7 linked regions of the Macaca mulatta genome follow. The main gene of each other region encodes a partner of the protein of the gene in region 7 in a complex. Links are inferred from orthologs where the notes say so. Each region holds a gene or a part of one and is shown on either strand. Other genes may lie near its edges. The genes, in order: MED1, MED18, MED21, MED13, MED23, MED7 and MED26.

Region 1 (3,099 bases), on a different chromosome or scaffold from region 7:
CCCGAGAAACCAAAGCACCAGACTGAAGATGACTTTCAGAGGGAGCTATTTTCAATGGATGTTGACTCACAGAACCCTATCTTTGATGTCAACATGACAGCTGACACACTGGATACACCACACATCACTCCAGCTCCAAGCCAGTGTAGCACTCCCCCAACAACTTACCCACAACCAGTACCTCACCCCCAACCCAGTATTCAAAGGATGGTCCGACTATCCAGTTCAGACAGCATTGGCCCAGATGTAACTGACATCCTTTCAGACATTGCAGAAGAAGCTTCTAAACTTCCCAGCACTAGTGATGATTGCCCAGCTATTGGCACCCCTCTTCGAGATTCTTCAAGCTCTGGGCATTCTCAGAGTACCCTCTTTGACTCTGATGTCTTTCAAACTAACAATAATGAAAATCCATACACTGATCCAGCTGATCTTATTGCAGATGCTGCTGGAAGCCCCAGTAGTGACTCTCCTACCAATCATTTTTTTCATGATGGAGTAGATTTCAATCCTGATTTATTGAACAGCCAGAGCCAAAGTGGTTTTGGAGAAGAATATTTTGATGAAAGCAGCCAAAGTGGGGATAATGATGATTTCAAAGGATTTGCATCTCAGGCACTAAATACTTTGGGGGTGCCAATGCTTGGAGGTGATAATGGGGAGACCAAGTTTAAGGCCAATAACCAAGCTGACACAGTTGATTTCAGTATTATATCAGTAGCCGGCAAAGCTTTAGGTCCTGCAGATCTTATGGAGCATCACAGTGGTAGTCAGGGACCTTTAATGACCACTGGGGACTTAGGGAAAGAAAAGACTCAAAAGAGGGTAAAGGAAGGCAATGGCACCAGTAATAGTACTCTCGCGGGGCCAGGATTAGACAGCAAACCAGGGAAACGCAGTCGGACCCCTTCTAATGATGGGAAAAGCAAAGATAAGCCTCCAAAGAGGAAGAAAGCAGACACTGAGGGAAAGTCTCCATCTCATAGTTCTTCTAACCGACCTTTTACCCCACCTACCAGTACAGGTGGATCTAAATCTCCAGGCAGTTCAGGAAGATCTCAGACTCCCCCAGGTGTTGCCACACCACCCATTCCCAAAATCACTATTCAGATTCCTAAGGGAACAGTGATGGTGGGCAAGCCTTCCTCTCACAGTCAGTATACCAGCAGTGGTTCTGTGTCTTCCTCAGGCAGCAAAAGCCACCATAGCCATTCTTCCTCTTCTTCCTCATCTTCTGCTTCCACCTCAGGGAAGATGAAAAGCAGTAAATCAGAAGGCTCATCAAGTTCCAAGTTAAGCAGCAGTATGTATGCTAGCCAGGGGTCTTCTGGATCTAGCCAGTCCAAAAATTCATCCCAGTCTGGGGGGAAGCCAGGCTCCTCTCCCATTACCAAGCATGGACTGAGCAGTGGCTCTAGCAGCACCAAGATGAAACCTCAAGGAAAGCCATCATCACTTATGAATCCTTCTTTAAGTAAACCAAACATATCCCCTTCTCATTCAAGGCCACCTGGAGGCTCTGACAAGCTTGCCTCTCCAATGAAGCCTGTTCCTGGAACTCCTCCATCCTCTAAAGCCAAGTCCCCTATCAGTTCAGGTTCTGGTGGTTCTCATATGTCTGGAACTAGTTCAAGCTCTGGCATGAAGTCATCTTCAGGGTTAGGATCCTCAGGCTCGTTGTCCCAGAAAACTCCCCCATCATCTAATTCTTGTACAGCATCTTCCTCCTCCTTTTCCTCAAGTGGCTCTTCCATGTCATCCTCTCAAAACCAGCATGGGAGTTCCAAAGGAAAATCTCCCAGCAGAAATAAGAAGCCGTCCTTGACAGCTGTCATAGATAAACTGAAGCATGGGGTTGTCACCAGTGGCCCTGGGGGTGAAGACCCACTGGACGGCCAGATGGGGGTGAGCACAAATTCTTCCAGCCATCCTATGTCCTCTAAACATAACATGTCAGGAGGAGAGTTTCAGGGCAAGCGTGAGAAAAGTGATAAAGACAAATCAAAGGTTTCCACCTCTGGGAGTTCAGTGGATTCTTCTAAGAAGACCTCAGAGTCAAAAAATGTGGGGAGCACAGGTGTGGCAAAAATTATCATCAGTAAGCATGATGGAGGCTCCCCCAGCATTAAAGCCAAAGTGACTTTGCAGAAACCTGGGGAAAGTAGTGGAGAAGGGCTTAGGCCTCAGATGGCTTCTTCTAAAAACTATGGCTCTCCACTCATCAGTGGTTCCACTCCAAAGCATGAGCGTGGCTCTCCTAGCCATAGTAAGTCACCAGCATATACCCCCCAGAATCTGGACAGTGAAAGTGAGTCAGGCTCCTCCATAGCAGAGAAATCTTATCAGAATAGTCCCAGCTCAGATGATGGTATCCGACCACTTCCTGAATACAGCACAGAGAAACATAAGAAGCACAAAAAGGAAAAGAAGAAAGTAAAAGACAAAGATAGGGACCGAGACCGGGACAAAGACCGAGACAAGAAAAAATCTCATAGCATCAAGCCAGAGAGTTGGTCCAAATCACCCATCTCTTCAGACCAGTCCTTGTCTATGACAAGTAACACAATCTTATCTGCAGATAGACCCTCAAGGCTCAGCCCAGACTTTATGATTGGGGAGGAAGATGATGATCTTATGGATGTGGCCCTGATTGGGAATTAGGAACCTTATTTCCTAAAAGAAACAGGGCCAGAGAAAAGAAACTATTGATAAGTTTATAGGCAAACCACCATAAGGGGTGAGTCAGACAGGTCTGATTTGGTTAAGAATCCTAAATGGCATGGCTTTGACATCGAGCTGGGTGAATTAGAAAGGCATATCCAGACCCTATTAAAGAAACCACAGTGTTTGATTCTGGTTACCAAGAAGTCTTTGTTCCTGTGCCAGAAAGAAAAAGTTAAAATACTTGCTTAAGAAAGGGAGGGGGGTGGGAGGGGTGTAGGGAGAGGGAAGGGGGGGAAACAGTTTTGTGGGAAATATTCATATATATTTTCTTCTCCCTTTTTCCATTTTTAGGCCATGTTTTAAACTCATTTTAGTGCATGTATATGAAGGGCTGGGCAGAAAATGAAAAAGCAATACATTCCTTGATGCATTTGC
Region 2 (4,676 bases), on a different chromosome or scaffold from region 7:
TGTTGTTGTTGTTGTTGTTGTTTAGATAGGGTCTCACTCTGTCTCCAGGCTATAGAGCAGTGGCGAGATTATAACTCTTTGCAGCCCCCATCTTGGGGGTTCAAGTGATCCTCCCACCTCAGCCTCCCAAGTAGTTCGGACTACAGGTACATACCACCATGCCCAGCTAAGTTTTCTTTATTTTTAGTAGAGGTGAGTTCTTGCTATGTTGTCCAGACTGATCCTGAATTCCTGAACTCAAGCAATACTGCAGCCTTAGCCTCCCAAACGACTGGAATTACAGTCATAAGCCTGTAATAGCTGGCTTGACATACATTATTTTTTAGTCATCTTTCTCCCTCCATGGCTATGGCTCAAATGTTTGGAACATATTCAGATACTTGTTGACAAAATCTGGCCTGGCGCAGTGGCTCACGCCTGTAATCCCAGCACTTTGGGAGACCAAGGCAGGTGGATCACCTGAGGTCAGGAGTTCAAGACCAGCCTGGCCAACGTGGAGAAACCCCGTCTCTACTAAAAATACAAACATTAGCTAGCCATGGTGGTTCACGCCTGTAACCCCGCTACTTAGGAGGCTGAGGCAGGAGAATTGCTTGAACCTGGGAGGTGGAGGCTGCAGTAAGCTGAGATTGCACCACTGTGCTCCATCCTGGGCAACAGAGTGAGAATCCATCTTAAAAAAAAAAAAAATCAGAGAAACAGGACCTAGAAAGATAGCTGCTGAGGGTTTGGCATAGAGGGGAGTGGGAATTAGTGTTTAAGGGGTAAAGAGTTGCAGTTTTATAGGATGATAAACAAGCATTTTAGGCTGGGCGTGGCGGCTCATCCCTGTAATCCTAGCACTTTGGGAGGCCAAGGCAAGTGTATCACTTGAAGGCAAGAGTTCAAGATCAGTTTGGCCAACATAATGAAACTGCAACTCTCTACTAAAAATACAAAAACTAGCCGGGCATGGTGATGCACGCCTGCAATCCCAGCTATTCGGGGGGCTGAAATACAAGAATCCACTGAACCGGGAAGTGGAGGTTGCATGAGCTGTTATCATGCCACTGCATTGCAGCCTGGGTGACCGATCGAGACTCTGTCTCAAAGAAAAAAACAGTTGTACTAAGTATTTTTTCAAGCTACTCACAATAAACCAAAGTTCTAAAGATCTGTTGTTCAGCAATGTTAATATACTTAACAATACTGAACAGTACACTTAAATATGTTAAGGTTTTTTTTTTTTTTGAGACAGAGTCTCGTTCTGTCGCCCAGGCTGGAGTGCAGTGTCGCGATCTCGGCTCACTGCAATCTCCGCCTCCCAGGCTTGCACCATTGTCCTGCCTCAGCCTCCCAAGTAGCTGGGACTACAGGCACCCGCCACCACGCCGGACTAATTTCTTTCTGTATTTTTAGTAGAGACGGGGTTTCACCGTGTTAGCCAGGATGGTCTCAATCTCCTGACCTCGTGATCCACCCGCCTCGGCTTCCCAAAGTGCTCGGATTACACGCGTGAGTCACTGCACCCAGCCAAGATGGCAGATTTAATATGTTTAGTGCATGTAAAACTGTAATTTAAAGTAACAGTTAAAAACATAGTTGGGTGCCAGAAACTGTGCAGGCTGCTTTTGTGTTGTCTCTCATCTTAAGGGAAGCTGAACAGAGAAGAGGAAAACAGGTAATCCAAGTTCCCTGGTTCACTTACCCTGCAATAGGTACTCCATCATGTTAATGGTGCCCCCAGTGACAGGCATCATGGTGACTGGAGGTGCCTCCATGGTGTCTAAGTTGAAGACAACACAACTGGACTCAGAGCCCCCAGTCAGGTAAGGCACGGGATATACCTGGAAAAGAGTTCACTTGTTTATACATCAGAGTAGTCGAGAGAGACCAAATCTGTTGTGGCACTGGCCTTCAAATCAAAAGATTCATTCATTTAAAAACATTTCAGTGTCTTACATGGCCAGTTCCAGGAACTGATGATACAGAAATATAAAAAGGAGATCTGGTCATGGAGTTACAGCATTGCCTTCTAGTCTCAAGTTCTGAAACCTCCAAGTTACCTGTGCAATCTTGAGAAAGTCCTGTCTATAACCCCTCACCCTGGGACTCAGTATCTTCCTCATAAAATGAGACCAGCAATTTTTTTTTTTTTTTTTTGAGACAGAGTTTCACTCTTGTCGCTCAGGCTGGAGTGCAATGGTGCAATCTCTGTTCACTGCAGCCTCCGCCTCCCAGGTTCAAGCGATTCTCCTGCCTCAGCTTCCCGAGTAGCTGGGATTACAGGCACCCACAACCATACCCGGCTAATTTTTTTTTACATTTTTAGTAGAGACAGAGTTTTGTCATGTTGGCCAGGTTGGCCTTGAACTCCTGGCCTCAGATGATCCTCAGGTGAGTCGGCCTCCCAAAGTGCTGGCATTATAGGCGTGAGCCACCACGCCCGGCCAAAGGCCAATGATTTTTAACTCCCAAGGTTATGTGGCTCAAACGAGATAATAAAGAGGCAACAAAATTCAGAAGAACTGAAAAGTGTCTTAAGGGACCTTCATTTTTATAGATGAGGACATTGAGACTCAGAGAGGGACAGGATACACACAGCAACTTGGTAGCAGAGTTGGGACCAAACTAGAATCTAGGCATTCCATCGCTCTGAAAATGCCTTTCCCCCATACCCTTTTCTTTTTTGGTGACAGGATCTCGCTCTGTAGCCCAGGATGGAGTGCAGTGGGGGAGTTCCTAGTTCACTATAACCTCGAACTCCTGGGCTCAAGCGATCCTCCCACCTCAGCCTCCCGAGTAGCTGGGACTACAGGAGGGAGAGTCACTGCGGCTAGCCTAAAAATGCCTTTTAAAGAGAGCCAAGGCCAGGCGCGGTTTCTCACACCTGTAATCCCAGCACTTTGGGAGGCCGAGGCCGGCGGATCAACCGGAGGTTGGGAGTTCGAGACCAGCCTGACCAACATTAAGAAACTCCGTCTCTACTAAAAATACAAAAAATTAGCTAGGCCTGGTGGCGAGCGCCTGCAATCCCAGCTACTCGGGAGGCTGACGCAGCAGAATCGCTTGAACCCGGAAGGCGAGGTTGTGGTGAGCTCAGATCGCGCCGTTGCACTCCAGCCTGTGCAACAAGAGCGAAACTCCGTCTCAAAAAAAAAGAGAGAGCCAAGAGGAAGTTATTTTAAAATGATGGTATATAGGTCCTTCTAAGCCAGCATCCACAACACGTGTCCACTTAAACACTAGAAGCACACCTCCTTGAGGCTCTAGTGTCTTCTCGAGAAGTCGGGAATTATATGCACCCGCGCACCTAGGAGCCTTTGAGCGACGATTAGATCCCAGTCCTCCGGTTACCGGAGCCCGGGAAGCCCCCAGACCGGTGGAACCAGCCAACTTCCTGCTCTTCTCACTTCCGGTCGGAAGCCGAAGTCTCACAAACCTCGAAACTGCCGTTCCCAAACGTATGGGTGCCGAGAAGGCCGAAGAGCGTCATTGCGGACAGACAATCAGAAGCGCATGCGCAAAATGCCGGGCTGCTGTAAGAAAGATGGCGGCCTCCTTTGGAGCTTTCCTCCGGGGTCTACCTGGCGCCTTGACGTCACAGGCCATCCTCTAGGAAAATATTTTTAGGTTTGACAACCTGGAGATGTATTTGTGCAGAAAGTCTCTTGGAACTGATAGGACTTACAGAGACTATAATGGGCTTAAAAAGAAAAATGAACTGAGGGCGCGGTGGCTCACGCCTGTAACCCCAGCACTTTGGGAGGCCGAGGCAGGTGGATCACTTGAGATCACGAGTTTGAGACCAGCCTGGCCAAGATGGTAAAACCCCGTCTCTATTAAAAATACAAAAATTAGCCGGACATGGTGGCACGCGCCTGTAATCGCAGTTACTAGGGAAGCTGAGGTGGGCGAATCGCTTGAACGTGGGAGGCAGAAGTTGCAGCGAACCGAGATCGCCCACTGCACTGTAGCCTGGGATACAGAGAGAGGCTCTGTCTCAAATAAATAAATAAATAAATAATAAATAAAAATTTAAAAGTCCGGAAAAGGAGTAGGTCCAGATCCAGGAGTACTCTGCAGTGCCAGACTAAAAGAACACGTGTGAGCTTTAAAAGAACCCTGGTTGCAACATGGAGAAAAGTTTGGGAAAGGAGAGAGCCTAGAGAAAAATGACCAGGCGGGACATGGTGGCTCAGGCCTGTAATCCCAGCACTTTGGGAGGCCAAGGCGGGCAGATAGCTTGAGCTCAGGAATTAAGACCAGCCTGAACAACATGGTGAAACCCTGTCTCTACAAAAAATACAAAAATTAACTGAACGTAGTGGCTTGTACCTGCAGTCCCAGCTACTTGGGAGGCTGAGGTGGGAGGATTGCTTGAGCCCAGGAGGCAGAGGTTGTGGTGAGCTGAGGTAGTGCCACTGCACTCCAGCCTGTGCAACAGAGGGAGATCCTGTCTGGAAAAAAATTAAAGAAAAAAGACCAGTTAGGCGCTTTAGTACAACTCCGGCTGAGAAACAACTGTCAGAAAAAGATTTTAAAAATGTAAAAGAGGAAATTAGCCGGGCATGGTGGAACACGCCTGTAGTCCCAGCTACTCAGGTGGCTGAGGCACCAAAATCGCTTGAACCCAGGAGGCGGAGGTTGCAGTGAGCCAACATCGTGCCACTGCACTCCAGCCTGGGCAACAGAGC
Region 3 (4,807 bases), on a different chromosome or scaffold from region 7:
AGCATTTTTCATTTTTAAATTGGATACATTCTCCTATTACAGCATTGTTGTGAGGAAGAGGAAATACACAAAATATTCAACACAGTGTCTATCTGTTCCATCCTTCAAAAACTTTTAGGCCAGGCGCGGTGGCTCAAGCCTGTAATCCCAGCACTTTGGGAGGCCCAGATGGGCGGATCACGAGGTCAGGAGATCGAAACCATCCTGGCTAACACGGTGAAATCCCGTCTCTACTAAAAAATACAAAAAACTAGCCGGGCGAGGTGGCGGGCGTCTGTAGTCCCAGCTACTGGGGAGGCTGAGGCAGGAGAATGGCTGAGGCAGGCGAGTGGCGTAAACTCGGGAGGCGGAGCTTGCAGTGAGCTGAGATCCGGCCACTGCACTCCAGCCTGGGCGACACAGAGAGACTCCGTCTCAAAAAAAAAAAAAAAAAAACTTTTAAGATCCATTTAGTCAACAAAACTTTATGGAAAATAACTATGACAAGTACTACATTTAAACACTATAGAGACATAGTGAATGCGACATAGCTTCTGCACTCATGGTTTTCAGAGGGTAGAACAAATGTTAAAAGTTATACAAATCTGATTAGGATAAATGCTAAGAAGATTCCCTCTATTTTGGTTCACATCACTCCATATTCCAATTTACTTCAGAACCTAAAGCTGAAAATACTCAATTCATTATAACTCCCTAACCACATACTGTTTTTCCATCACTTAAATGTCTCCTGAGTATATGACATTTTTTTAACCTCCTTAAGGAGTATCTCTTTGCAAACATGATAGTGCTTATACACAGTAGGCACTCATACTAGTTATCCTAAAGGCTTTTCTCCAAAATCCAATTATCAGCATGCCTAACCTGGAGTTAAGGCCATATTCACTCTGTCCTTACTATCCTTCTAGTTACAAGACATGTATGAATATGCAAAAGTTTCCCTAAAATAAGATTTCTATCCAGCAGCATCATTACAATTTGATTTTGTAAAATCTCAAAGGAGTAGTTCCCTGAGGAAGGCTGACTGGCAGCTCAGGCAAGTCCCTGCAGGGCAGAATTTATCTTGGTGAATTCAACATTTAGAAGCTGGTCCTCTCAGCCTTAAAAACTAGTGTTATTCACCCAGGGTAGATCAGTTTATCACAAGTAGATTCACACTCTTCAAGTGTACAAAGCCTGATGTATTAAGAAAAATGCCAAGTTATTAGCTTACAGTGAGGAAAAAAAACTGGCAAAGAAACCAGGTACTTAGGTTTTCCTCTCAGCATGTTTTCTCTCTAGCCCCTCATCTAGGACGTTAAATCACAATCAGACAATGAGAAACATAACTATCAATGGAAAACTATTTAACAGAAAACTATGTAACTGGTAATGGTAATAAGTATACCCATTGCAGCAAGAGAATACCCACTGACGTCTTGGTCAACGGGATGCATATATTATGTCGGTCCCCTATGGTTATAACAACGCTGAAAAATTCTTACTGCCTAGTGACATCATAGCGGTCTGTGCTTGTGGTGACGCTGCTGTAAAGCAACCTACGGCACTGCCAGTGTATGAAAGTCTAGCACATACAATTAAGTACAGTCCATGATACTTGATAATGATACTAAATGACTTTGTTACTGGTTTATGTATTTACTGTTTCCTCGTTATTATACATTGTACTTCTACTTATTAAAAAAAAAAGTTATCGCCGAAACCATGCATTTCTCAGAACATAACCCCTTCATTAAGGGCCCATGACTGTATGCGCATCCTCTGGCTTTGCTTCTGCTTTCCACTCAGGCATAGCTTGGAGGAAAAATTACCAGAAGGAACAAAGCTGGGGAGCTACCTACAAGACTTGGCCTTTAATAGAGCGTAGAATTTGGGGGAGACGTTAAAAAAGACTTGTAAGCCGGGCACGGTGGCTCACACCTGTAATCCCAGCACTCTGGCAGGCCGAGGCGGGAGAATCGCTTGAGGCCGGGAGTTCGAGACCAGCCTGGGCAACATGGTGAAACCCCGTCTCTACTAAAAATAGAAAAATCAGCCGGGCGTGGTGGAGGGCGCCTGTAATCCCAGCTACTTGTTTGGCGGAGGCGGAGGGTGCAGTGAGCCGAGATGGCACCACTGTACTCCAGCCTGGGCGACAGACACAGTCTCCAAAGTAAAAAAAAAAAAAAAAAAAAAGGAAAGAAAAGAAAAAAGAAAGACTCAAATAAACGGAAAGACATACGAGAATCAGAAGATTTCCTATCATAAAGATGTCCCCAAACTGATGCATTCTGAGGGGTGGCCAAGAGACAAGAGATGGAAGGAGGCTCTGGGCCCACAGGAAGGAGCGAAGATGAAAGAAAATCTCTCACCTCAGCGTCGCTCCGCACCAACCTGAAAGCGCTGGTGAAGGAATACTCTCGGCTGGCATTTCATTACAAAAACCCAGTCATCCACAGCACGAGATCTCCCTTGGTGGATTCAAATTGATGAGGAAAGAAAAGAGCTCCTGCTTCTCCTCCCAACCCCCAAAAGAGATCCCGTAAGCACCGCTGCCAAGAAAATAAAACTGTCCTCAGGGAATACGACAGGACCGCGCAGCCGACAAGTCTTGGCGGCCCCACCCGGACAAGAGCAATCTTCCCGGTCTCCTCAAGCGAAAGAGGCTGCTCCCTCCCGCACCTTCAAGCACCGCCCGGCAGCCGGCCTCACACCTCCGAGTTCGCGGTGGCGCCTCCCGAGAGAGCGCTTTATGCCGAAGCCCTGTTTCTCAGTCCGCTTTCCACTTCCAAGTTTTGCCTCTTGGGCCCCTTTTCTCCCTTGCTTTACCTCAGGAAAGAGAAAGACAGAGGCTAATCGAATGAAATTCCTCACCGAATTCACAGCGTCTTGAAGCTGCGTGAGCCGATCCGCCATGTTCTTCCTGCAGCAAACAGACGCCAAAACAGCTGCTCTTCCGCGACTGGGCAGCTCTGGTACGCGTCATGGCCAATCCCAGCGCTGCCTTCTTGGAAGGGGTGGGGTCGGAGAGAACTCCCCGCCCCGTCAGGAGTGGGTGGTACTGCCGAGGCGGCCTTAGAGCGGGCTACACCAGAGGAGAGGCTGGATCTTTTGAGTAACTGGGGAGCGGCCTGGGGTCCATCGCTTTGAGGGGCTGAAATACTCTCTTTGAGGTTGTTAGGTGTTAAAGGCTTCAGAGATTGTTGGATTCAGCGGGGATTTTTTTTTTTTTAGTGATTTCTCCTATCCTCTCATGTGTTTACTTATTGACTACATTGAAGAGTAGATATATTTATTTATTTTGAGACGGAGTCTGGCTCTGTCGCCTAGGCTGGAGTGCAGTGGCGCGATCTTGGCTCACTGCCAGCTCCGTCTCCCGGGTTCACGCCATTGTCCTGCCTCAGCCTCCCGAGTAGCTGGGACTTTAGGCGCCGCCACCACGCCCGGCTAAATTTTTTTTTTTTTTTTTTTTTTTTTTTTTTTTGTAGTAGAGACGGGGTTTCACCATGTTAGCCAGGATGGTCTCCGTCTCCTGACCTCGTGATCCGCCCTCCTTGGCCTCCCAAAGTGCTGTGATTACAGGCATGAGCCACCGCGCCCGGCCAAGAAAAATCAGCTGCACAATTTAGATTTAGAGTTGGGACTTATTGAGAGATTAAGTGTGAAGAGTGATAATAGAAACTTGGTATTTAAGGAAATTTAGCCTGAGGATAGTCTGGTAAGAAATGAGTTTGGAGTCGGCAAATAACAGGTTTGGAGACATCAAACAAACTCTCATATCCTCTTTCTCAGGTTGATTATCCGTGATTACCTTCCTGCGGCTGCGGGGTAGGTGGTGGACACAGTCCCCGGGGAACTCAGCTTGCTGGATTTATCCCAACCCTTGCTGGGAAGCACCACTTCTGCTTCACACCCATGCCCCACCCTCATCCCCAAACAGTCTACAGACTTACTGGGGCCTCATTAAGAACGTGGATGAGGCATGCTCCCCATAATGGAACTAATGAGAAATCACTCCATAATTTGTTCTAACTGTAACTTGGGGGAATCTACAACCTTTTCCTCCCACCTTCACTTGAGCGTGTACCTTACTGAATGCCTGCCACATGCCAGGAAGTATATCCAGTGCTCAGTGTGCAAAGATGAATAAGCCAAGGACTCACCAAGAGGAAGGTTTTGCAGTTGTCCAAGATTAAGGTGAGCTGGGCCTAGAATAGGGTGTTGGTTGACCCTGATAAGAGAGGAAAAAAAGACTAAAATATATTTTTGAGAAAAATAATTAATACGGATTGGTGACTGATTGAATACAGTTTAGTCCACTCCGTAAGGATACTAAGTTTTGCAGCGTGATTGAAGGGAACTTGGGCACTTGAAGTAGAGAAGTCACTTCAAGACAACTCATATTGTGACACAGTTTTTGTCCTGCCACTATCTTCCTAGTAGGTCTTCCGTGCCTCCACAGAGACCTCAGGTTGATGTCCAACTATCTCTGCCTAGTTGTCAAGATTTACTATAATCTGGCTCCAGCAAACAGACCCAGCCTCACCTCTTGATAATTTTCTGAGTGAAATAATCCTCTGTTTCAGCCAAGGGCCCTGACCCCTTGGTTTTTCTGGTTCTTCAGCCTCTTTTGGCCACGGATCTTTTTAAGAATCAGATAAAAGCTGTGGACCCTTTCCCCAGACCAGACTCTCAACTTAGCCTACATTTGAAAAGGGGTTTATGAAGCTCTTGAAGCCATAGACTTCAGGAATAACCCACCTGCCAAATATAGTCTGTGCATCTAGCTCAGGATTTCTCAATGGCCGCACTCTTGACTCTTTAGGCT
Region 4 (4,077 bases), on a different chromosome or scaffold from region 7:
CAAATAGGCTGGAGTGTAGTGGTACAATCATGGTTCACTGAATCCTCCACCTCCTAGGTTTAAGCTATACTCCCACCTCAGCCTCCCAAGTAGCTGAGACTACAGGTGCATGCTACCACACCCAGCTAACTTTTGTATTTTTAGTAGAGATGGGTCTGCCATGTTCACCAGGCTGGTCTTGAACTCCTGGGCTTTTAAATTAAAAAAAAATTCCTTTCTATAGGATCACTCCCAATGCACCTTTAACAAAATAATAATAAACCTCTGTTTTAACCCTATTATGCAATTTCTCTGCTATTTACAGCAAAAGTCCCCAGAAAATTGTCTAAGTTTGCTTCTCATCCTGTTCTTTTGTGAACCCACTCTAATCAGGTTGATTGAAACTGTCTATCAAGGTGACCACCAACTTCTATGTGGTCACGTCCAATAGGCTGTCTCAGTTTTCACCTTAATGTATCATAGTATTTGATAGAGATGATCACTCTCTTCTAAATATTCCCGGGCCGGGCACAGTGGCTCACGCCTATAATCCCAGCACTTTGGGAGGCTGAGGCGGGTGGATTGCCTGAGCTCAGGAGTTCGAGACCAGCCTGGGCAACACAGTGAAACCTCGTCTCTACTAAAATACAAAAAATTAACCAGGTGTGGTGGCGGGCACCTGTAGTCCCAGCCACTCAGGAGGCTGAGGCAGGAGAATTGCTTGAACCCGGGAGGTGGAGGTTGCAGTGAGCCGAGATCGCGCCACTGCACTCCAGGCTGGTGACAGAGCGAGACTCTGTCTCAAAACAAACAAACAAAAATTCCCTAATCTTGATTTCTAGGATACCATGCTCTCTTGGTTTTCCTCCAACCTCCTTCTCAATTTTCTTTCCTGGCGCTTCTTCTCCCTCCCCACCTCTAAATGTCAGCTCCATCCTTGTACTACTCTATCTACAATTACTCTATAGGTTATTTCATCCAGATCCACAGCTTTTCATGATGATAACTCACACACAAAATTTTTCAATCTCCGGACCCAATCATTCCTCTGAATTTAAAACATATTATCTCCAAATGTGTATCTGATTTACTCCCGTGTTTCCCTCCTCTGTAGTTAGTACCACCATTCACCCAGTTGCTCAAGCTATTATTGATGCCTCATCTTTTCTTACATGTCTATCGGCAAACCCTGTAGGTTCTATTTCCCAAATATACCTAAAACCTATTACTTACATCTTGCTTGCCTCCTATCTTGTCTAAGCTACCATCATCTTTCACCTAAGCTTCTGAAACTGCCTTCCAACTGATTTATCCTGCTTCTATTCTCACTTTCACTACTGCCAACCCCCAAGGCTATTTTCCACACAATAGCAACAGAGAGTCTTGCTCTGTTGCCCAGGCTGGAGTGCAGTGGCGTTATCTCAGCTCACCACAACCTCCGCCTCCCAGGTTAAAGCAACTCCTCTCCTCGGCCACCTGAGCAGCTGGGATCACAGGCACGCCCCACCACACTGGCTATTTTTTGGATTTTTAGTAGAGATGGGGTTTCACCATATTGGGCAGGCTGGTCTCAAACTCCTAACCTCATGATCTGCCCACTTCAGTCTCCCAAAGTGCTGGGATAAGAGGCATGAGCCACTGCGCCCGGCCATCTTTTTTTTTTTTTAGATGGGAGTTTCACTCTTGCTGCCCAGGCTGGAGTGCAATAGTGCAATCTTGGCTCACTGCAACTTCCGCCTCCCAGGTTCAAGTAATTCTCCTGCCTCAGCCTCCCAAGTAGCTGGGATTACACGTGCCCGCCACCAAGCCCAGCTAATTTTATATTTTCAGTAAAGATAGGATTTTACTATGTTGGTCAGGCTGGTCTCGAACTCCTGACCTCAGGTGATCCGCCTACCTCGGCCTCCCAAAGTGCTGGGATTACAGGCATGAGCCACCGTGCCAGGCTGAGAGATCTCTTAAAAAACAATCAGAATAAGGATCATGTTACTCCCCTTGTCAAAACTGTTCAATAGGTTCCCATCACATTTAGTGCAAACCACAAAGGCCTTACATGGTCTATAAGACTCTAAATGATGCTGGTGAATGGCTACCTCTTAAATTTCATCTCCTTCCAGTCTCCCTATCACCCAAAGCATTCCAGCAACATCAGTCACCTTAATGTTCCTCAAACACGTAAAAACAAAATACTCCCTCAGGGTGTTTGCGCTGCCTGAAACACTCTTCCCTCATTTAACTACATAGCTCATATTCTACTTTATGTAGGAGTTTGCCCAAATGCTATCTCCTCAGTATCTTATCTGACCATACATCTAAAATAGTACATACATGTCTTTTTCTACTCTTTTACTCTGCTTTTTCTCCAAATTACTTCTATTATAAGCTTTTTTGTTTATTTCCTATTTTCTCCACTAAATTATAGATTCAAAAAGGGCAAAGAATATGTGTGCTTTGTTCAACAGTGAACCTAGGATAACACCTGGCACATACAAGGTGCCCAGTAAATACTTAACGAGTGAAAGAATGTTGAATAAAGCAGACCATTAGCAATGTTATGCTAATATACGCAATGTGCCTTTCATATTCCTACGTAAGTATATAATTACAGATTTATAATAACCATACTTTTATTGGTGACATTAAATTAAACCGCTAAGAAATTCACCCTTTAAAAACATCATCCTTAAAAGAGTTTTAAGTCCAACTTTAAATGTCTTTATTTGCTATATGGGTAATTGCCTTTATTACTTTTTCCTAAGAATGAAAAGCCAAGTCATACAACTAAAGTGAAATAAGCAAACAAAACAGTATTTTATTAGCATACTTACCATTTCTTTTGGACCAGGGGTGTAAGCATGAACTTTTCACAAGTGCTTCATCAACTTTTCCTCCTGACATATTATCCATGAATTGACGCCCATGTTCTAATGCAAGGTAGCAGTCATTGCAACAGTCACGCTCTTCAACACGTACCCAATTGCTAATTACACCACTTTTAGGAAAAGGATCTTGGTCTGCTGCTCCAAAGGGTGAAAATAAATTAGTGCACTGATCCTGTAGCAATAATATCAAATCATCAGATAGTTTTTCAGATTCCTTTAGTCCTCCATTAACATGTTCAGCAGAGGTACCCCTGAGAGCTTCAAAACGTTTTTCTGCTTCTTTGCCACAGTCTGTATTGCGTCCTATGATATCTAGTTCATCTTCAAGAAATAATCCTGAACTGTTTCCAAATTTTCTGTTCATGATAGCACTGAAGCCACAGGTACACCTATATTGTGCTTCCTGCGTTGGATCTGGAATGTAAACTCCAACATCGGCACCCTTGATATTCATGTTGCAGACACAGATGCAACAACTATCAAAGTTACAGTCTTTAAACAAATTCATAACTGATTCTGAAAGGATGAGGTTTACATAAAGACTGTGTGCTTCAGGGATGGAAGGGACAGTTGCAGGTTCAACAGAATTAAGGGGTCTGCATGTAGATGGGGTAGAAGCTGGTGAATACAAGTCTGAATTTTCGTATTTGACTGAACCTTGAGCACTAGCAGGTCCACCAGCTCCACGAGGAGTTCGAGGAGTCCTTGGAGTCCTTGGAGTTGGAAACCGAGGGGTGGATGGAGAAGGAAGAATTCCTGCTCCGCTGTTACTAGGAGGTGCACTGCTAGGAGGCATCCCAAAAGAAGTATGAGTTTGAGGTGTATAAGCAGGGCCATATTCTTGATCCATATTACTTCCATCACTATCATCACCAGGGTAAAAGAAAATCAAATACATATATAAAGGAACATATTAGTAACATGAAATACAACTAAAAACGTCCCAAATGTTTTTCAATTACATAGAAAATTACGAAAGGACAAGTATTGCAAGAATTACAAGTACAGTCAATTTTTATTTCTGGTTAACATATCTACTCTAAGTGATTGTGGACTAAGGATCAATCAACAAGTTCAAATATCATTAATAAGTACTGTATACACTAATGCGCACCAAGACATCCATATTTACTATCTATAAATTATGTTTACTAGAAATACTTATATTTCCTTGATTCTAAGATGCTACTGACTGTAAAATAAAAAATGATTAAAA
Region 5 (4,077 bases), on a different chromosome or scaffold from region 7:
CTTATAAGAATGTTGGGAGGGGAGTAGAGGAGCCTTGGGAACAACTGAGTAATTTTAAATCTCTTCAGGAAATATACCACAAGAAATAGACAGATTTTGTAAATGCTTCCACATCATGTCTCTCACCTGAAAGTAGGATATGCACACTGAAAAATCAATCATATCTGAAAACAATCACTTTTTATAATGAGAAAAATATACCTTGTAATCCACTCCCCCAATTATTTTCCGAACCAGTTTAAATGTTAAGGCCCAAAGCTGTGTTCTTTCCCACTCAAGAGTGTCAGAGGTTATCAGGGATTCACAAACCAGCCTATAAAAAAAGAAACAGCCATTCCAGTTATAAGACAGAATTTTCCAAGTTCTCTAATAGCCACCGATATGGTTTGGCTGTGTACTCACACAAATCTCATCTTGAATTGTAGTTCCCATAATCTCCATGTGTCATGAGTAAAACCACTTAAATCATGGGGGACAGTTTCCCCGATCCTGTTCTCATGATAGTGAGTTAGTTCTCACAAGATCTAACGGTTTCACATGGGGATTCCCCCTTCGTTGGGCACTCATTCTCTCTCCCGCCGCCCTGTGTGATGAGGTGCCTTTTGCCACGATTCTAAGTTTCCTGAGGCCTCCCTAGCCATGCCGAACTGTGAGTCAATTAAACTTCTTTCCTTTATAAATTACCCAGTCTCAGGTATGTCTCTGTTAGCAGCACGAGACAGACTAATATAGCCATAGTCTATGGACTGTATTATATTTATCCTCTCAAATATCTTTCATAAAAGTGCATTATTACTAAGTACACTTATAAATATGTATAGCATTTTACATTCTTTACTTGTATGAAAGATCAAAAACAAAGTAAGAATGAAATAATATTCACTACGTTATATTTTACTAGAAAGAAGTGTATCTGGAGCTTGCAGTTACATGTTTACCATCTATCACCTTGTGGTACACTGGATTTTTCCAAGAGGGTGGCAACAAGATTTTTGATCCCACATCTTCTTCTGAAATGTGACACTGACATTTCTCCCAAGGAGAAGTAGGGGGAAAGTCTATGTTCTCACTCCTTAGATGTGGGCAGACCTAAGACTATGGCCGAAAGGATGCAGTATGACTTCTAAGACAAGGTGACACAATTTCTGTCTAGCCCTCTTTTGCACACTTGCTGTTAGGCTCCACCATGAGGTGAGAAAGTTCAGGCCACAAGGCGAGGGCCTGTGGAGGTTCTGGCTAATAATCTCAGCTGAGGTTCCAGATGACAGCCAGGAACTAACCACCAGATATCTGAGTGGGGAAGCTTTTGCCATGCTCCAGCCCCAGCTACATCGATCATTAATCATTAAGACCTTGAGGAAAAAGTGCCTCTTAAGCCCAGTCAACCACCAAAACCATGAATAATTTTAAAACCTGAGTATTATTGTTTTAAGCCATGAGGTGTTGAGGTTATGCAGCAAAAGTAAAGTGTTACAAACTAATCAAAGAGAATAATCTCAGCACCTGGGCAGAAACATCTGATTTTGAGCCCACAAGCATTATATAATTCAAAGATTATGACTCCTAAAAACTAAAACCTGAGGTATTATATAAAGGATTACTTGATGAACCTCACTTTCTTCTTCATTCTCTTATCTTTTCACAACAACAACCTCAACCAATTTCCAATCACATATAGAAAAGAAAATTCGTCAGATTGCTCATACCCATTAAACGTACCTGGGTGGAAGGAGACCAGTCTCAACTGCCATTGCTAAGCAGTCATAAAGAAAAGAAATTCTTTTAGGACTATGCTGACCATGAATAAATTTAACAATCCACTGGATACACTGTTCATGAGACTCCTGGAAAATTAGAGAATGATTTTATTTGGGGTCTAAAGTTACATTTTTATAAGAAATAGCTAATACTACAACTGGAAGTATACCAATACTATGAATGAAATACTTCACTCTGAGCATCTGTGGATGAAAATAATTTTTTAAAAAAGGAAAATTAAAATGTTCAGATTTAGTATTTGTCACATTAAGCTTAAAATTTTGCAATTATATAGATAAAATGCTACCTTTTTATTACATGGGACCTTCAAAAGTATTAATTAACTAACATATCAATGGTCTATAGAAAACTCTTAACACAGATCATTGTAAGGCATTGTAAACATTGCCCTTTATGGCATATATAAATATTACTGTCACTGGGAGTAAAATTCATTATGGATCAGTATGTATCAGCCTTATGAGAATTAGGTGTGAATCTAATCCCTAAGAGCCTAAAGAAGAGCCCATTATGAATCTAATGACATGTCACATTTCTAGACTTGCAAAACTTTAAATATGATGTCAAATGTTGTGCTGTATCAAAGTTTATCTTCTAGGATATCTCCAAAAAGAGCCTATAATGTTCTGCTTCTCTCCATGACCACTGTTCTCATACTTCTATTGTGGCACATATAACAATGATTTGGAAATACCTATTTTCTTCCTGGTTTCTCCATTAGAGGGCCACATCATAATTTATAAAGTGTTTAATGAATTTTTTAAAAAAATTTTGGAAAGATGTTCAACATCACTGAGAAATGAAAATAAAATTATACTGAGATAAAATTTCTCATGTTTTTGATCAGCAAAGATCAAAAAGCGTAACACTCTATTGTGAGGTTATAATAAAAAGATACTCTCAAACACTGCTGGTGGAAGTATAAACTAGTATAACCCTTGTGGAAAATTTAATAATTTCTATAAAACTTACAAACCAGTAACGCTTTTGACTCAGCAATACTATTTCTAGGAATTTATCCTATTTTTCAGGCATAATATTATTCATCACAGCACTGGTTAAATGAGAAAAAGTTAAGAAGAAACTTAAGAGTCAGTAGAAGATTGGTTAAATGGAGGAAGGTACAGCCATACAATGGAATATTACGTTGCTATTTAAAAAACAAGTAAGAAAAGCAGCAGAAACCTCTGCAGACGCAAACGACTCTGTCTGACAGCTTTGAAGAGAGCAGTGGATCTCCCAACACGGAGGTTGAGATCTGAGAAGGGACAGACTGCCTGCTCAAGTGGGTCCCTGACCCCGAGTAGCCTAACTGGGAGACATCCCCCACTAGGGGCAGTCTGACACCCCACACCTCACAGGGTGGAGTACACCCCTGAGAGGAAGCTTCCAAAGCAAGAATCAGACAGGTACACTTCCTGTTCAGCAATATTCTATCTTCTGCAGCCTCTGCTGCTGATACCCAGGCAAACAGCGTCTGGAGTGGACCTCAAGCAATCTCCGACAGACCTACAGCTGAGGGTCCTGACTGTTAGAAGGAAAACTATCAAACAGGAAGGACACCTACACCAAAACCCCATCAGTACGTCACCATCATCAAAGACCAGAGGCAGATAAAACCACAAAGATGGGGAAAAAGCAGGGCAGAAAAGCTGGAAATTCGAAAAATAAGAGCGCATCTCCCCCGGCAAAGGAGCGCAGCTCATCGCCAGCAATGGATCAAAGCTGGACGGAGAATGACTTTGACGAGATGAGAGAAGAAGGCTTCAGTCCATCAAACTTCTCAGAGCTAAAGGAGGAATTACGTACCCAGCGCAAAGAAACTAAAAATCTTGAAAAAAAAGTGGAAGAATTGATAGCTAGAGTAATTAATGCAGAGAAGGTCATAAACGAAATGAAAGAGATGAAAACCATGACACGAGAAATACGTGACAAATGCACAAGCTTCAGTAACCGACTCGATCAACTGGAAGAAAGAGTATCAGTGATTGAGGATCAAATGAATGAAATGAAGCAAGAAGAGAAACCAAAAGAAAAAAGAAGAAAAAGAAATGAACAAAGCCTGCAAGAAGTATGGGATTATGTAAAAAGACCAAATCTACGTCTGATTGGGGTGCCTGAAAGTGAGGGGGAAAATGGAACCAAGTTGGAAAACACTCTGCAGGATATCATCCAGGAGAACTTCCCCAACCTAGTAGGGCAGGCCAACATTCACATCCAGGAAATACAGAGAACACCACAAAGATACTCCTTGAGAAGAGCAACTCCAAGACACATAATTGCCAGATTCACCAAAGT
Region 6 (4,644 bases), on a different chromosome or scaffold from region 7:
AGCTAATGCAAAAGGCTGGTATGGTAGTTTCGGTGGGGTATGGGAGAAAGGAGAAAAAGGTGATTCCTTAGATTGAACATTTGCAATTGAGTAAAGTGCAACGGGGTAAAGATGTCTGTCACCACTGGATATGAGGGTCTGAAGTGCAGAGGAAACGGTGTTCCAGGGCCTGCATGTATCTGGGTGATATCTGACTGAGAAGTGGTTGGAGAACTGAGTCCTGGGGCAATCCAAATAATCAAATGTGCCAAATGCTGCTGACAGAGGGAGTAAAACGAGGACTGGGAACAAGCATTGGAAGTCACGGGTGCAGGACATATTGGGGTCAGCAGTGAGGATGAATTTCTTCAGGAAATAAATTTATATGTGCGGGGGAATTAAAATGGGGGAGGCCGGGCTACGTGGTTCACGCCCGTAATTCCAGCACTTTGGGTGGCCAAGGCGGGCGGATCACTGTAGGTCAGGAGCTCGAGACCAGCCTCACCAACATGGTGAAACCCTGTCTCTACTAAAAATACAAAAAAAGGAAAAAAAAAAAAAAAATTAGCCGGGTGTGGTGGCACATGCCTGTAATCCCAGCTACTTGGGAGGCTGAGGCACGCGAATCGCTTGAACCCCGGAGACAGAGGTTGCAGCGAGCCGAAATCGCGCCACTGCACTCCAGCCTGGGCGAAAGACACTCCGTCTCAAAGAAAATAAATAAATAAATAAAACAAAATAAACCAACAAAAAACCCTGCATATCTATATTTTCGAATTTTTATGTAAGATGTCTTCATTGTATGGGTTCAATTAAAAAAGAAAAGACAAAAGGAATGGAACTACCAGCTGCGACTGTCAGCAGAAGAGTTGTAATGCGGGCAGCGGGTGGAACACACGAACAACCTTTGCTAGGTTTTCTTTGGGAGGTTATTTTCACGTCATAAATGTCTAAATTCATGGAAGTCTTACAAGAGCATGTTACATATTAAAATATAAGATTTTTTTTTTTTTTTTTGAGACGGAGTCTCGCTCTATTGCCCAGGCTGGAGTGCAGTGGCCGGATCTCAGCTCACTGCAAGCTCCGCCTCCCGGGTTCACGCCATTCTCCGGCCTCAGCCTCCCAAGTAGCTGGGACTACAGGCGCTCGCCACCTCGCCCGGCTAGTTTTTTGTATTTTTTTTTTAGTAGAGACGGGGTTTCACCGTGTTAGCCAGGATGGTCTCGATCTCCTGACCTCGTGATCCGCCCATCTCGGCCTCCCAAAGTGCTGGGATTACAGGCTTGAGCCACCGCGCCCGGCAAAATATAAGATTTTTTCTAGTCAATAAGGGGTCTATAAAAAATAAAGCAATAAGATGTCTTGTTTAATTTTATGCCTTAAAGAAACGAAGAAACAACCCTCACCTACTACTTTTAAAAGTCAGTGAAAGGGGTGGCGATGGCAGGAGTCGAATATACGCAGGCGCAATAGCGAGCGATCGGTCTGAGGCGGATCTAGAATCTCGTTAAAGGACAGCTCCTACAGCCAATCAAAGACAGAGTCGGTGGCTTCTTCCAGGAGGAGACCGGAAATTGGTTTCGGCTGCAGAGGGGGAAGGCGGCTACCAGTGTAAAGCCAGAGTTGAGGTGAGTGGGCGGCAACGGCTTGGGGCTCCCGCGTGTGTGCGTTTTTTTCTTCCGGACCCCGCGGTTTCCTCTGTGCTGGGCTGGGAACTGGGGAGGCATGGAGGAGTTCGGCCTCCGAAGACGCTCTCTCGTCTTTCTGTCCCGAGTCTCTCCGAGAGCGCGGCCTCCCCGCCGCTCGTGGAGGTCTCGGGATGGACAGCCTGGAGGAGGGGGCTCTTAGCGCTGCAGTCCCAGGGCTTCCTCCGTGTGGGGACGCCGAGCCGGAGTGGAGGTTGGGAGACGTGGTGTCTAGTCCCCTCGCCGCTGTTTTTCTAGGCTGTGTCGCCTTGGGCGAGTTATTTGCCCTTTCTGGCCCTTTGTAACATGAGAGTAGCCCTCCCTGCCCTTCCTTCTTCTGGGAGCAGTTGTGAAACAGCTGAGATACGGGGGCAGGCGAGGGCAGTAGATCCCAACCAAGCCTAATCGTCAGGTCCATCTGGAGAGGTTTTTAAAGCGACATACCAGGGCCCATTCACAGTGGACAGAATGAATCAAATCTCTGGGGCTGGGACCCTGGAATATCTGTCGTCTTCTGGTGAGGCGCCTTCTCCCCCAGAACAAACACTAGATGTTGGATCTTGAGTCTAAGAACCAGTTATGATGCTTGGCTCTGGTTTTATTAAAATAAGACTTCCATCGCCTTTGAAAAGTTCCATCTAGAGAGACAGTAGAGAAAAATATAATTTTTGTAATATGCAAGTTCTAATTGTACAATTAGATGCTTCACGGCTTAGAGATATAAGAGAGCTTGCCCTTTGGAGCTAAAGGGACCTGGGATAAGAATTCCTGTTGTACCATTTATTAACTTTTTGATCTGGGGCAACACTTCCCCTCATTGAGACTTGGGATCTTCACCTCTAAAATGAAATTGATAATAGAACTTAATTCATGGGACTCTGTGGTGGCTCACGCCTATAATCCCAGCACTTTGGGAGGCCGAGGTGGGCGGATCACTTGAGGTCGGGAGTTCCAGACCAGCCTGGCCAACATGGTGAAAACCTGTCTTTACCGAGAAATAAAAAATTAGCTGGGCGTGGTGGCACACACTTGTAGTCCCTAGCTACTCAGGAGGGTCATGCAGGTGAATCCCTTGAACCCGGGAGGCAGAGGTTGCGGTGAGCCCTGATCATACCACTGCCCTCCAGCGTGGGAGACAGATTGAGACCTTGTCTCAAAAAACAAAACAAACAACCTTAATTCATAGAATTGTTATGAAGATTATGTTAGAGAGGCCATAAAACAACAGTATCTGTCACGTAGTTGCCTTAGGAAAATGACAACCTAAGTACAGGAATGCACATCGTGTAGGAAAGTACAGAGCAGCACTCCTCACCTAAAAAGGTTTGAGTGGAATGAAACGTAAGGTGTCAAAAACTGTGTTTTGAAGTACCAGATCAATGTTAATTCCTTGATTTTGGTAATTGTGCTGTGGGTAGAAGAAAACATTCTTGTCCTGGGAAAACACATTGAAGTATTCAGGGGTGAAGGAATGAGAAACCAATAAAGCAAATGAAGGAAAATGTTAACATTTGGAGAATCTGAGTGAAGAATATGAAGTGTTCTTTGTATATTCATGCACTTTTTCTGTAATCTGAATTTATGTTATAAGTTTTAAAATGTTGGCTGGGAGTGGTGGCTCACACCTGTAGTCCCAGCACTTTGGGAGGCCAAGGCAGGAGGATTGCTTGACCTCAGGAGTTCAAAACCAGCCGGAGTAACATGGCAAAACTCTGTCTCTACAAAATATACAAAAATTAGCTGGGCGTGGTGACATTTGCCTCGTACTCCCAGCTGCTTGGGAGGTTGAGGTGGGAGGATGGCTTGAGCCTGGGAGGTCGAGGCTGCATCATCCTATGCACTACTGTGGCATGGTGGAAACTCAGGGCTGCACCACGCCTGCCCTTAGTACCTCACGAATTCTAAGTATAATATTGCTTCTAATAGAATACTTGCCCCACCTGATGTTAGAGGGTGTTATATCTTGAAACTTTGATAATACCAGTGTAAAGGAGCACTTCAGAATCTTCTCATTGGATGGTATATCTAGGCTTAAGGTAGAGTAAGTAGAGGTTATTATGGCCATAGAAGATACTGGGTTTGAACCTGGGGTTTGAAATTTCTGTGATAGTTGTAGGGAAGTTAATGTGTCCATACAGGCCGGGCGCGGTGGCTCACACCTGTAATCCCAGCACTTTGGGAGGCCAGGGTGGGCGGATCACCTGAGGTGGGGAATTAAGAGACCAATTTGGCCAACATGGCGAAATCCTGTCTCTACTAAAAATACAAAAATTAGCCGGGCATGGTGGTGTGCGCCTGTAATCCCAGCTACTTGGGAGGCTGAGGCAGGAGAATTGCTTGAGCCCAGGAGGCGGAGGTTGCAGTGAGCTGAGATCGCACCACTGCACTCCAGCCTGGGCATCAGAGCAAGACTCCGTCTCAAAAAAAAAAAAAAAAAAAAAAAAGTTAATGTGTCCATATAAAATTGCATAGTTTACTGTGACAAAAAGGATATGGAACTGAATCATTTCATTCAGGAACTTTGGATAATACCATGTCTTTAGGATTTAGCAGTGTTAATTTTGTCAGTGTTTATGAGAGATACAAGTAAGTGTTTGCTATTGGAAATCAATCTGTAACATAAAGCAAAAGTGATTCTGATATGAGATTGGGAGACAACGTGTAGTTTGGTTATGGAGGAGTAGAGAAATGGGGGCATAAATGGTGAAGGGTGTGGAATCCAGAAGATTTTCTTGTTTTTTTTTTGAGACAGATTTTCGCTCTGTCGCCCAGGCTGGAATGCAGTGGTACAGTCTCGGCTCACTGCAAGCTCCGCCTCCTGGGTTCACACCATTCTCCTGTCTCAGCCTCCTGAGTAACTGGGACTACAGGCACCCGCCACCATGCCCGGCTAATTTTTTTTGTCTTTTAGTAGAGACAGAGTTTCACCCTGTTAGCTAGGATGGTCTCGATCTCCTGACCCTGTGATCCGCCTGCCTCG
Region 7 (4,826 bases):
GATGCGTGCTTCTGTTGCTGTGTTAAAGGTAACCTCTCCACAGGTTTTCTGTGCCTGCCTGCAACTGAGGTCCCAGCTTTCAGGTGCTGGAAAGTGTCCGCACCTCTTCAGGGGTGAGGGACTAACGCTTTTTATAGCTGGTTTGCTATAGAGTTCTGAACTCACTTTGCCGTCCTTCCTTCCACGCGGTCCTTCCTTCGCAATTTTGTTAGTAAACTGGTAGCAGCATTTCACAAAAGGAGAGTTTTGAGGGAAGAGTGCAGAGAGACCGCGTGACTCCCGCCCCCTCCCTCCTGCCCGGGCCGGACTCCCCGAGTTCCCAGTGCAGGAGGCAGCTGGGCCCCGGCCACCCACCCACCTGCCTGCCCGCCCGCCCGGCTTCTGCAAGATGGGAATGCACTTCGTGGCTGACGGGCCGGTCAGTCCAAACAGACATAAGGCAGAATGTTCAAGCGCCCGTCATCGCCGTGCGGATCAAGTGATATGCACTGCGTCCAGTCATACCAGTTACCCTGTGTGTCCTGACACCCGTTCACCCCCGGCCACTGGCTGGCCTGGATTCTGTCGAGATCGTCCTGTGTGATATCCCGGGTCAGCCCGGGGAGGTCTGTGGGCGGGCTTTGAGGCACCAGCACGTGCAGCTGCCTGGCCCCTTGCCGGGTGCTCTCCTCCTGCTTCAGGTACTCAGACATGAAGTGGTGAGCCCCCGGGGTCTGCGCGCCCGACGATGAGAGCAGGCTGCTCTGCCGGCTCAGGTAGGACTGGATGATCTCGTTGCGTGACAGCTCCTTCCAGTTCGTCTGTTCAAAGGGGCTCTGGAGGCTGGCCTTGGCCTCCTGCTTGTCCAGCTCTGTCCTGGACTGCTGCTCCATGTGCACAGGGCTGTCTGCCCGCACTGGCTCTTTCTGGGTCAGAGGTTTGATCTGTCTTGTCATGGGGTCAAAGGTGAGCTTCCGCTCTTTTAACCGGACAGGCTTGACGCCCGCCTCAGCCACCTGCCCGTCCAAGTTAACCGTGTAATCTCGAGGCCGGTACCTCTTCTTCTTTTTACTGTCCGAGCCCCCTGAGGAGGCAGCGTCACTGTCCGCCTTGGAGGAGTCTGGGGAGAAGCCCGCCCGGGACAGGAGGGGCTCGGCTGGGGACAGCCCTGCCTTGCAGCCCGGCCCCGCCAGCCGCTGGTGGCTTTCCGGCTGCTCAAGCCAGCGCACTGGGCTTTCCGCACTGGGCAGCAGCTCAAGCCGCCGTACAGGGGGTGTGGACGGCTGTGCCAGTGGAAGCGGTGACGGCACCTGTGTGGCATCGAGCGCCTGGGGCCGCGGTGAGGGGCTGGGCACGGAGCCCTTGGGTGCATACAAGCTCTGCTGCCGGGCAAAGGAGCCCTCATGCCGTGAGTTCCGAGGACTGAAAGAGCAGCGAGGGGGCCCCTTGGGGTGGGGAGGCCCCGGAGTCTCATCCACCCTGTCCAACTGCTGCAGCACCGAAGCCTTTGGCTGCAAGCAGGGTCCAGGGGGCTTGCCCAGGCCTGGGGAGCTGGTGTGCGGCCGCACAGCGTTGATGGGGATCTTGCCACTGTGCTTGTCGTTCTCGCCACGCTCCAGGCGGCCGCCCTCTGGGCCTGCATGCCCACTGCCATCCAGGGAGCCAGGGAAGCTCTCTGGACTCCCACTGATGCCATTGGTAGGGAGGGGGGATGAGTTGGGGACCAGGGGGTCGTGGCTAGCTTTGGAGACCTTAGGTGGTGGCCCTGGGTGGCCGAGGTCACGCTGGTCACCCCTGCGCTTGCGGCTGCCCAGCCTGTCCAGCCGCTGCCCGGGCAGCCTCTGGAGGTCATTGCGGCTCTTCAGGTCATGGATGCTCCTGGGCGGGCCAGCCGCCCCCACCTCCGGCCGGCAGTTGTGTGCACCCCCGTTGGCAGAGCCAGTGGCCCCCGCCAGCCCCCGCAGCGCTGCCTCATGCTGGTGCGCTGGCTCGATGAGCTTCTGCCAGCTCCGCAGCAGCTTCTTGGCCCGCTTGGCGAGCTCCTCGTTCTTGGTTTTCTTGCGGACGTCGTTGATGAGCTTCCCAAGTCGTGTTTCCTACAACCAGAAAGAGAGATGATGACATACTTTCGGGACAGGGACTTCCCCATGAGCTGAGCCAGAAATGGTGGGAAATGGCCCTGACAATGAAATGACCTGGTTCCCACTGAGCCCTAAACTGCCAGCCTCCCTGGCACAAAACTCCTGGGGATTTCCGGTCCTTTGTGACAATATAAATTCTCAAACCTAGTCCCCAGACCTTCAGAGTCCCAGGTGGCTTCTCAGCAGTGCTGTCCCGCAGGCTCCTGGTGCCAGGGGGCTGTCAAGGCCACTGTAAGGACACTGCCAGGGAGGCTTTCTGGATGAGAGGGTGCTGTGGCCAAGGCGGCAGCACAGAGGGTCTGCTTCAAGTGGAGGGTTGGGGACGGCGCCTCTCATTGGAGCCTCCCCCAAGCACACCTCTCCTGATGTCCCCATGTCCCCACGTGCCCACGTGCCCATGAAGTGTGCTGGGCAGGTAGGATGGGATTAATGCCACTTGGTCACTGCAGTGGCCACAGGAGAGCAAGATCACGGGGCACAAGCTGTGAGGGCACACCGCCTCTCTTGGTCCTCTGAAGCAAAGACACACGCTCCTAGAAGCTGGGGAAGGAACTGGGTTGGTGCCGTCCCCTGTCCCCCATTCTGCACTCCCAAATGCTGGGGTCTGGGATACTCACCTCAAGTGCCTCTTTGGTAATGGGGTATTTCTCCAGGCTGGAGATGACTTCCAGCACCGCCACCATGTTCCGGATCTGTGGAAATAAAGAAAAAGCCATTTGTCAGGTTCCTGCCCTTCTCCCCTGGGAGGCAGGGACACCCTACCCCAGCCTGCTCCAGTCTCTCCCCAACCCCAGAGCAAGAGGAGCTGGCAGCACTGAAGCCCCCACTCCATGTAGTCTCCTACCTGCTCCCCAGGCCAACCTGGCGCCCAGTGCTCATCCTCACCCGCTGTCCGACCTCCTCCAGTGTGTGGTGTGCGGTCTGCTCCAAACCCTCCAGTGTACATGGTACATATCCACCCACCTGCTGAAACCCAGGATGCTTGTGAAACAAGAGCTGCTCCTGATACTTAAAATGACCTCTACTCTGCCATCTGATGGGAGTGGGAGAGGAGACACTGAAGAATTCATCGAATAAAATCCACAAAGCTTAAAAGATCAATACATAGGCTGGGCGCGGGTGGCTCACGCCTGTAATCCCAGCACTTTGGGAGGCCGATGAGGGCGGATCACGAGATCAGGAGTTTTGAGACCAGCCTGGCGAACACAGTGAAACCCCATCTGTACTAAAAATAAAAAAATTAGCTGGGTGTGCTGGCATGCGCCTGTAGTCCCAGCTACTCGGGAGGCTGAGGCATGAGAACTGCTTGAACCCGGGAGGCAGAGGTTGCAGTGAGCCAAGACCACGCCACTGCACTCCAGCCTGGGTGACAGAGCGAGACTCCGTTAAAAAAAAAAAAAATTCAATACATAATAAACCAGTCGATTTGAATCCAAAGACACCATAAAGAGAGCAGAAAGTCACAAAGTGGGAGAAGGCATAGACCACAAGCCCCAAGGAGCTGTATCTGGAACACACAGAGAATGCCTGTGCAGCAGTGCAGCTGACCAGGAACCCAGCGCACAGTGGCTACAAGACAGGAACAGGCACTGTGCAATGAAATGTCAGCGCTAATGCTCAGCTTCTCAGCTTTATCAATAATTAGGAAAACTCAAACTGAACCCACAAATGGATATATGATACACGCACCCCACTGACAATACTAGGTACTTCTGGGGGTACAGCCGACTTTGGGAACGGCTGGACTTTGTCTGGCAGAGTGAAACATGAACACATCCTATGACCGAGTAATCCCACCCTTTTAGGATCTTGCTAGGAGCCACACCTTGTTCTAAGCACTTCCCACACATTACTAACTCCTTTAATTGTTACAACAAGAATTCCTACCGCTCAACCGCCACCTCCAGCAGCTACAGGTTTCTGGTGGGCTGGCTGGCAGGCGGGAACCCAGGGGCCCTGAGGAAACCACAGTGAGTAGATTACACAACTCCCCCCCACCCCCACCCCAACATGATAAAGGAGTTAAGCAGGCACATGATACAAATTAAAACAGCGTAAAAGGGCACACAAGGAAATGGGCATCTCTGACCCAGCCACTGTAGCATTACCTTGCATTTTTTTCCAAAAATATCCCTTGTGTATGCAGGCGTATACATCTACACTTGTCACATATTTCAAAACCAAACTGACCGTGGTTCTTGCCTTTTCTGACTTAACATCAGCAATGTCCAGCCTCAAACAGAGCCCCTCATTTGGCTCACCATCCCTTCCAGAGTGGGGAAGGCCCGACTTGAATGTTGTGGGACACTTAGGCACTTTCTGTTCGCCATTACAAAACAAGGCTGCAACTGACGGCAGTGACAGACTTGACTCTGGGCTAATGCACAGACAGCCGCGGGTGAGCCGGGGCTTCACATCCATGCAGGGTGGTCACCTCGCCCCCAGGGAGGCTGCTCCATTCCATTCCCACCAGGCCACATCCTTGCCAAGACTGCGTGGCATGAGTTTCCATAACACGTGATTGTAAACTCAGCATCTTACACAGCACACATTTATCATCTCAGGCTCTAGGGCTCAGAAGTCAGGTCTCGGTCTCACTGGGCTGGGATCCTCTCTGGAGGATCCATTTCCTGCTCCTTCAGGTGTTAGCAGAGTTCAGCTCTTACTTATTTTTTTGAGACGAAGTTTTCCTCTTGTCGCCCAGGC

What was found.
Region 1: MED26 (region 7) and MED1 share a complex: the UniProt entries of both Homo sapiens proteins name them as parts of the mediator complex. The link is inferred for Macaca mulatta from reciprocal best matches to the Homo sapiens genes MED26 and MED1.
Region 2: MED26 (region 7) and MED18 share a complex: the UniProt entries of both Homo sapiens proteins name them as parts of the mediator complex. The link is inferred for Macaca mulatta from reciprocal best matches to the Homo sapiens genes MED26 and MED18.
Region 3: the proteins of MED26 (region 7) and MED21 are in contact, whole or in part, in a cryo-EM structure (PDB 7EMF), measured with the Homo sapiens proteins. The link is inferred for Macaca mulatta from reciprocal best matches to the Homo sapiens genes MED26 and MED21. Residues at the interface, in NP_004822.2 of Homo sapiens: Ser481, Arg482, Asn483, Glu484, Ile485, Ser488, Tyr489, Ser491, Arg492, Ser495, Leu496, Ser498, Ser499, Ser500, Leu528, His529, Ser535, Pro537, Thr538, Asp539, Leu540, Pro541, Gln549, Asp551, Leu552, Ile555, Gln556, Trp560, Gly562, Val563; in NP_004255.2 of Homo sapiens: Ala2, Asp3, Arg4, Leu5, Gln7, Asp10, Ser14, Gln18, Asn21, Gly24, Val25, Gln28, Cys29, Tyr54, Leu57, Phe58, Leu61, Arg64, Thr65, Lys67, Asp68, Val71, Leu72, Asp74, Ser75, Leu76, Pro77, Ser78, Glu79, Glu80.
Region 4: MED26 (region 7) and MED13 share a complex: the UniProt entries of both Homo sapiens proteins name them as parts of the mediator complex. The link is inferred for Macaca mulatta from reciprocal best matches to the Homo sapiens genes MED26 and MED13.
Region 5: MED26 (region 7) and MED23 share a complex: the UniProt entries of both Homo sapiens proteins name them as parts of the mediator complex. The link is inferred for Macaca mulatta from reciprocal best matches to the Homo sapiens genes MED26 and MED23.
Region 6: MED26 (region 7) and MED7 share a complex: the UniProt entries of both Homo sapiens proteins name them as parts of the mediator complex. The link is inferred for Macaca mulatta from reciprocal best matches to the Homo sapiens genes MED26 and MED7.

Annotation. Positions count from the first base shown.
Region 1 is NC_133421.1:63,743,375-63,746,473, reverse strand, and holds part of MED1 (mediator of RNA polymerase II transcription subunit 1), read left to right. Parts: coding exon 1-2,661; 3' UTR 2,662-3,099. UniProt on the Homo sapiens protein: Component of the Mediator complex, a coactivator involved in the regulated transcription of nearly all RNA polymerase II-dependent genes.
Region 2 is NC_133406.1:212,601,429-212,606,104, forward strand, and holds the start of MED18 (mediator of RNA polymerase II transcription subunit 18), read right to left. Parts: upstream 3,047-4,676; 5' UTR 2,109-3,046; coding exon 2,046-2,108; intron 1,827-2,045; coding exon 1,688-1,826; intron 1-1,687. UniProt on the Homo sapiens protein: Component of the Mediator complex, a coactivator involved in the regulated transcription of nearly all RNA polymerase II-dependent genes.
Region 3 is NC_133416.1:29,388,095-29,392,901, reverse strand, and holds the start of MED21 (mediator of RNA polymerase II transcription subunit 21), read right to left. Parts: upstream 2,929-4,807; 5' UTR 2,896-2,928; coding exon 2,854-2,895; intron 1-2,853. UniProt on the Homo sapiens protein: Component of the Mediator complex, a coactivator involved in the regulated transcription of nearly all RNA polymerase II-dependent genes.
Region 4 is NC_133421.1:49,720,224-49,724,300, forward strand, and holds part of MED13 (mediator of RNA polymerase II transcription subunit 13), read right to left. Parts: intron 3,725-4,077; coding exon 2,808-3,724; intron 1,471-2,807; exon of another isoform or gene 1,346-1,470; intron 126-1,345; exon of another isoform or gene 1-125. UniProt on the Homo sapiens protein: Component of the Mediator complex, a coactivator involved in the regulated transcription of nearly all RNA polymerase II-dependent genes.
Region 5 is NC_133409.1:36,660,316-36,664,392, forward strand, and holds part of MED23 (mediator of RNA polymerase II transcription subunit 23), read right to left. Parts: intron 1,845-4,077; coding exon 1,720-1,844; intron 314-1,719; coding exon 202-313; intron 1-201. UniProt on the Homo sapiens protein: Required for transcriptional activation subsequent to the assembly of the pre-initiation complex. Component of the Mediator complex, a coactivator involved in the regulated transcription of nearly all RNA polymerase II-dependent genes.
Region 6 is NC_133411.1:166,007,468-166,012,111, reverse strand, and holds the start of MED7 (mediator of RNA polymerase II transcription subunit 7), read left to right. Parts: upstream 1-1,548; 5' UTR 1,549-1,607; intron 1,608-4,644. UniProt on the Homo sapiens protein: Component of the Mediator complex, a coactivator involved in the regulated transcription of nearly all RNA polymerase II-dependent genes.
Region 7 is NC_133424.1:17,072,514-17,077,339, forward strand, and holds the start of MED26 (mediator of RNA polymerase II transcription subunit 26), read right to left. Parts: upstream 3,149-4,826; 5' UTR 3,067-3,148; coding exon 2,965-3,066; intron 2,813-2,964; coding exon 2,738-2,812; intron 2,076-2,737; coding exon 420-2,075; 3' UTR 1-419. UniProt on the Homo sapiens protein: Component of the Mediator complex, a coactivator involved in the regulated transcription of nearly all RNA polymerase II-dependent genes.